Drosophila melanogaster: one gene and its partner. The protein of the gene in region 2 interacts with the protein of the main gene of each other region in a pairwise test. Each region holds a gene or a part of one and is shown on either strand. Other genes may lie near its edges.

What was found. Proteins that work in one complex are often made in the same cells at the same time.
Region 1: the proteins of CG15741 (region 2) and beag interact in a two-hybrid assay, tested with the Drosophila melanogaster proteins (one large-scale study listed by BioGRID).

What each region holds. Positions count from the first base shown.
Region 1 is NT_033777.3:9,062,597-9,067,075, forward strand, and holds beag (beag), read right to left. Parts: upstream 2,483-4,479; 5' UTR 2,394-2,482; coding exon 810-2,393; intron 745-809; coding exon 655-744; 3' UTR 536-654; downstream 1-535. Other genes in the region: Ada (adenosine deaminase), read left to right, coding at 2,643-3,656.
Region 2 is NC_004354.4:11,837,039-11,839,748, forward strand, and holds CG15741 (uncharacterized protein), read right to left. Parts: upstream 989-2,710; 5' UTR 973-988; coding exon 565-972; 3' UTR 505-564; downstream 1-504. Other genes in the region: Cyp28c1 (cytochrome P450 28c1), read left to right, coding at 2,572-2,710.

The DNA of each region.
Region 1 (4,479 bases), on a different chromosome or scaffold from region 2:
CCCATTTCCTCAAACCACTCTTGGCAGTGTAAAGGGCTGAGCTTCGGTTTTCCGAAGCTGAAAGATACAAACTTTACCGATACCCATTTTATACAAGTCGCCCCACCATCCTCACACTCGGACTTAGCGTAGTGATTAAGAATAGCATTCCCGCGAAGGTAATTACATTTAATCAGTGTCATATTTCTAAGCATGCAGGAAACGTTACATGTTAGAGAGCAGCACTAGGTGCACCCATCCAGCTTAAGTAGATGCAGCTCGCACACCAACTGAGAATCACAAGCAGTGCGTTTCGGGACTGTAAGAGCAATGCAATGCAAAATAAAGAGATCGATTTTATTTGATTGTCGAACCCGTTTTAAAGTTCCCCAACATTTGGCCTTACTCGATGGAAATTAAACTCGCGTTGCGCCAGCGGTCTTACAGTTCTGAATCCCACTGTACCAGCGCTATTGCCGCACATAGTCGATAAGTCAACCTGCCAAGCTCCCTAAGGACCCTCCCCTTAGTTCCCAACTCCAGTAGCAGTTAAATTAGTGATAACGTTGCTAAAATATATTTGAGAGCATGTAAGATTAATACAAGTACGAGCATACTTATATTTAATGTTTTACAGAATTACATTACAAATATAGAATAATGTTTCAAGAATTTCTAGTACTTTGCGGATTTGTAATCGGGTTCATCGCCACCAGCACCGCCGCCTCCACCGTCCTTTGGCAGTTTTCGCTTTTGAATGATTGTCTAAATGGCAAAGAAAAATAAATATTTTGTATTGATCATCGACGAATCCTTTGGGATATACATACCTGAATCTTTTGCCACTCCCTATCGAGCTCGGCCTTCTCGTTCTTCTCCGTCTTGTTCTTGCGCGTCTTGCGACCGTCCTGCATCTTGACCCCGTACTGGAAGGCTGCCTTGGGCAGCGCCTCCTTCGTGCTCATGTAGTCGGAGTACTCCTCCTGCGTGTCAAAGTCCCAGCGTCCAATGGGCCCCTTTTTATTGCCCAAATCCATCTTGGTGTAATCCACCTCATCGTCCGAGTCGTCGATGGCGTCGTTCATCTCCTCCAGCCCGGGATAGCATTCTGCGTATCCCTCGGGTTCAGCGAACCGTGCGGCCATGGCCTTCGATATCTTGGGTGGCGGGGGAATACTGGATATTATCGGCTCCTCTGATGCCTCCGGCGGGCCGTCTCCAAAGTAGGACGGGGCGGACTTGCCTTGCTCCTGGCGGTTTCGCTCAGGTCGCGTGGCAGAAGGTTGGTAGTCCCCTATATCGTCGTAGATATTATCGCCCAAGGGAGCTGATTTCCCTCCCATGTTCGATGAGGACGAGGTGGCGTGCCGACTGGAGCCACCATTGCTAGACGACCCACGAAGATTTTCCACCTCCTTTTCGTAGAACAGCGGTTTGTCCTTGTCGCGCTTTTTGTTCTTCTTGTTGCGACCACCGGCACGTAGATAGCTCAGGATTTGGGACAGCTTGTTGATCACAATGTCATTGGTGGTCAGCGTGGCAACATCCTCTTGTGACACCGGCACCTCGAACTTGGAGCGCTTCAGTGTGGTTGGAATATCCGACTCCCCTAGCTCGTCATCCAGGTCGATCACATAGGCCATCCGTCCTGGAGCAAATAGCTCATTGCGGGGAACTTCTTTCGAACGCCTTGCCTGCACTAGATTGTAAATATTGCGCGCTAGTGCACCATTGATTGCATTAATATCCTCCGACTCGCGGCGTTCCGCTTCCAATTGCTCAGCGGCGGCAGCTGCTTCGGCGAGCTTTTCCCTTGCCACAGCGGCGGCAATCTCCTCCTCTTCCGCTTCCTTCGAGTGCAGCTCGGAGCGCACTTTTTGCAGAAGGGCGTAATCAAGACCCTTCACCAAATGCGTATGCTGGATGTCTCCACCCAAGAACTTGGACTCCTGAATGATACGTCTTCTTCGCTCCTGGGCATCGATTCCGGATTTCATATCTGGCGCTACAGCTCGATACGCATTGGTGCTGCTTCCGTGTCCCGGCGTGCTCACGTTCACGTAATCTGGATTGGCACCATCGCGTCGTTCTCGTGCTCGGTCCCTGTACTTCTCGGACAGCTCTTGCAGCTTCACATCCTCCTGCTTCTTGAGCGCCGCATAGAAGTTCTTTTTCTTGCGACGCAGATCATTCCGCTCGCTGCTGCTCTGACCCTTCTTCTTTTCGCCACTCAATCCTGTCGTGCCGGGGGCGGTGGAGGGCGTGGCAAAGGTAGCAGTGGCCAGAGATCCTCCAGCGGAGGTGCTGCTCGTCCCGGAGCCAGGAGGAGGAGCTCGGGGCGTCGCTAGCAGCTTGCGGAAGTCATCGTTGGTTAGTCGCACCGAAGGCGGTGCTTCCAAGTGGGCATCCGACATGGCGAAGAAAATTCGAAGAAAACTCGCAGAGAAAATCTATATTTACAAATTGTGCTTCTTCTTGGTTTTGCCTGCCAGGGTTGGCTGTGTTTTTGATTTTTCTCCGTACTGTAATCGATAACATGTTTACAGTGATGGAAGATTAGCGTTTTTAGCGTTTTTTCCGAATAATTACGAATATTTGAAAATCGATTCCACATTTAGCATCACTGTTTCTCATAATGTATTGTTATTATTGTTAAACTACAAATGGAGCAGTTTCTTAAAGGTCTGCCCAAAGTAGAGCTCCATGCTCACCTCAACGGTTCCTTGGGCATCAAAAGCCTATGTGATCTTGGCGAGCGATTGTATGGAACCTCTTGTAAAGATTTCCTGAAGTTGTGCGCGCACTTCAGCCGATTTGAAAAGGATATGGATGCATGCTTCGAGAAGTTTGCATTTGTGCACGAGTTGACCTCCACCCGGGAGGGTCTGCGATTTGCCACGGAGTTGGCGATTCGAGATTTCGCTGAGGACAACGTCCAGTATGTGGAAATGAGGACCACTCCTAAGGCAAACGAGAACTATTCACGCAGGGACTACCTGCAGATCGTGATCGATGCAATTAAGGCAGCTAGCGAAACGTATCCAGAGATAACAGTCAAGCTACTGCCCTCCATCAATCGAGCGGAACCAGTGGACGTGGCTGAGGAAACAGTTTCCCTGGCTGTGGAGTTGGCACGGGCTCATCCAAATCTTATCTTAGGCATCGATCTTAGCGGTAATCCAGGGAAGGGGCGGTTTTCCGACTTTGCTCCTATTCTTGCACAGGCCCGGGATAAGGGTCTGAAGTTAGCTATACACTGCGCCGAGATCGAGAATCCATCGGAGGTAAAGGAAATGCTGCACTTTGGAATGTCCCGCTGTGGACATGGAACTTTTCTTACTCCCGAGGACATTGGGCAGCTTAAACAACGAAATATTGCCATTGAATGCTGCCTCACTAGTAATGTTAAGTCGGGAACAGTGCCCAGCTTGGAGGAGCACCACTTGAAAAGAATCATGGAGGCAGATGCACCCAAGGTTATCTGCACGGACGACAGTGGCGTTTTTGATACCACTTTGACAAAGGAGTTTCTGATTGCTGCGGAAACTTTCGGTCTAACCCGTGAACAATGCATCGATTTGACCTTGGAGGCAGTGCATCATTCATTCGCCAGCGAACAGGAGCAAATACAGATGGCGGATAGGGTGGGGAACTACGCAGACATATTGGTCAAATAAAAAAACTGTCACTGCCCTAATTGAAATAAATAAGTTTTTGTATGTAACACCATATATGTACCAACCTGATTCTTATTTGTCAAAAATTTTACCTTTTAATATCATTCTTTTTATTCAATATGTAGAAGTATTTAGTTACAAGTTTGTTCATTAGTTATGTTCATCCTTCGTACGTACATATGTGGCTAATAAGTTTTTATGTTTTTCTCATTTAATATCATTCATAATTGAATTCAAGTTTTCTGTTCATTACTTTATGTTCTCGTTTCTGCCGTTCTGTGTGGCTTAGTTTGGGGGTAGGCATTCAAAATACAATGGAGTACAAGCTTTGGTCAATAGTGGGCTCTTAAACTGCACCAAGTGAAGTGGACGATCGAAATCTAAGGAAACCAAAGTAAGACTTAAATGATCGAAATCTGTAGTTTAATAGCACATTTTGAAACAAACTTTTTGGGTGAAGACATCTTTATAGTCGGACCCTCCACCTACCCAAGCCTGCAGATTAGCTTTCAGTTGAAGTGGTTTGCCTGCCTGGTATTCCCTATATACAGTTTATCTATATTTTATACTTTTAGTTTGGTTTTAGCTTACTGCTGTGTTTCTACATGAGTTTTACTACTTTATCCAGTTCATTCCAAATGTCGAGCTTCAAGAAACGACCGACTTGGGAGTTTATTTATATTGTATAGAAGTGTTTTTACCTCAACTAGAGAGTTCAATTACAAATCTATATATTTATATAAAGGTTTACATTTCTACACTTTGGAAAAATTCTACTAGTTGAAAATGGTATGGTATGGATTTTGCTGTTGTATTCGACTTT
Region 2 (2,710 bases):
TATATATATATATATTTATATATATATATATATAGACATATAGATACGCAAATTGGCAGAACATTTACTTAAAACCCATACCTAAATATATGAGTATATACATATATCTACGTTTATGTGGGCATCTTATTACGATGTTCATTTCATGTCGTCGCATGTTTTCCCCTTAGTTAATCGAAAATCAAACAAAACAAAAAAAAGCCTATAAGACAAAAACCACAAAAAAAAAAAAATCTATCTTTTTTAATTCATTTGTATAACCGAAAGTGTCATAGAATTCATTTGAGAGGTCGATTCTAGAATTGATTCCACCATATAATATAATAAATGCATAAACTAAAAAAAAAAAACTCAGCAATTATCGTTTTTCTCTGCAAGGATTTTATATATATAATATTATTATATATTCACTTAAAATAACTTCATTTCGAAACAGCAAATGTATTTTTCAATATTTTTCAATTACTTTATTTGATTAAAAAAAAAGATATATTACGATGTGATGCAATCATAGTTTTTTCTGCGATCGGTGGGTTGATTTCGATTTCGAAAGGAAGAAAATATTTAACCACTGCGACGGGTGCGTCGGACTTTCTTGGTTTTCTTGTTTTTCTTGCTGTTCTTTTTCTTGCTCTTGGTGGTCTTCTTGTCCTTCCTGTGACGCCGGTTGACGTAGTGCCTCGTGTGCCGAACTTTCTTATCGCTCGACGATGATGAACTGGACGCCTCCGTGGTGGTGGTGGTCGTGGGAGCAACTGTCGTTGTAGTGGTGGTCGCCGTGGATGATGAGGAACTCGACGACGACGAAGTTGGAGAAGTGGACGAAGTTGGAGAAGTGGACGAAGTTGGAGAAGTGGACGAAGTAGGTGAAGTAGATGAAGCAGGTGAAGTAGATGAAGCAGGTGAAGTAGATGAAGTTGAACTAGCCACTGCCAGGAGGCTGGCGAGGATCAGTACGCAGAGGAATCGCATCTTGCGGCTTTGGGGCAGTGGTACTTGGAACTGTGCCTTTATCTCTATTCTAACCAGGCTTTTATAGCACCCCTATCCATGGCATCTAACGAGCATCCAACCGCCCGAAGATTAAACGTATATTTGGCCAGGGTAAATACGGAGCAACCAACACCAATCCCACCCCCCCCCCCCCCCCCTTCCACACATTTGTCATCTGTCTTGGATCTCCGGTGCTCCGATCCATGGCATTATTTTCATTATTTTCGCTATTTGCATAGAACACGCCCAGAATCCCAGTTTGTTTGCACACGAGTCACATAATTGGCACTATTTGCCAAAATCGAGGGTAAAACTTCTGTTCGTAATTAAAGAATTGTTGGAGCTGTGAGGCAGTTTAAAAATATCTTTTGTTTGATAGTTCTGTTTCATTTTTTAGTATATTATTTAATATATTATCTTAAATATTAGTATAACATATAAGAATATATCATTAGGAATTTTCGCATATCTTGCAGACCAGCGGAATGATCCCCTCAAAAGCTGGCCAAGATCTCTTCACTTTGGATTGGGCTGGAGTCCATTGGATACGGTCTGGTCTCGAGATTCGTCTGGCGAAACAATGTCAATGCCATTGACTAGTGGGATCTTAACTACACTTAAAGACTAGCTACCTATATTTGAAAATCAATTATAAGCAACAGTAATCATATTTTAATATTCTCTACCAAAGAATATATAATATAATATAATATAATATAATATAATATAATATAATATAATATAATATATAATCTTAGAGCAATGCTTGTTTATTTTTCTCTCTGGTTTCCGGAATTAGAGCAATTCGTTTACATAATACCATCAATCATGGTACAATCTTGAATGATTGATGAAGCCAGCGACTACTGCACAAAATCCCCAAATAGAGAGAGAGACTCGATTTCGCAGTTGATTGATTAGATCACTAAGCTGACAGACAAGCAAGCTCATCTAATTGCATTCGTCACAACGCAAAATGACATAGTAGATGGCAATTTGTGGCGATTTGAAATTGCAAGTGGTTTTTCGCCGATCTTTTCGAAAAAGAGAAATGGTTTGCTTGGAATTTTCTTCTTGCACGAACCGTTGCTGAATAAATATTTGCACCCAAATATGCGAATAAAAAGCAGCTCAAACAAAAATTCGACAATGGCCTCTTTTGTTGAATTAAGTGTTCCGATTGTCTTGCGACTTGACTTTGCTACGTTCAGGGTTGTCAGATTGTTGGCAGTTACTTTCGCTATCGCTGATCCCCCCAACTGGCTTGACCTGTGCACCTTTACTTTCGAACACGTTCCTTGATCGACTACGAAATGCAGCTCCTTAGTTATTCTGACATAAGAGCAGTTCGCTGGTTAATTCGATAATGACACCAACTAAGTTCTGTTCCAGCGACACGCAAACCCACATAAGATCAATTGCAAAATGGGGAATAATAAATGTATGCATAGTATATACATAGGGGCGCAATGGAAGCACGCTACGGAGGAGATCCCCAATCTCCGCCGATCTCCTTGTGCCACCAGATGCGCGTATCCGATTCAATTTCATCCACTCAGTTTCGCTTACAACGTCGTCATGTTTGGATCGCTTCTACTGGGGATTGCCACCTTGCTGGGCGCGATCTATGCCTTTCTGGTCTCGAACTTTGGCCACTGGCGGCGTCGCGGAGTCACAGAACCCAGAGCCCTGCCGCTCTTCGGTTCCTTTCCCAACA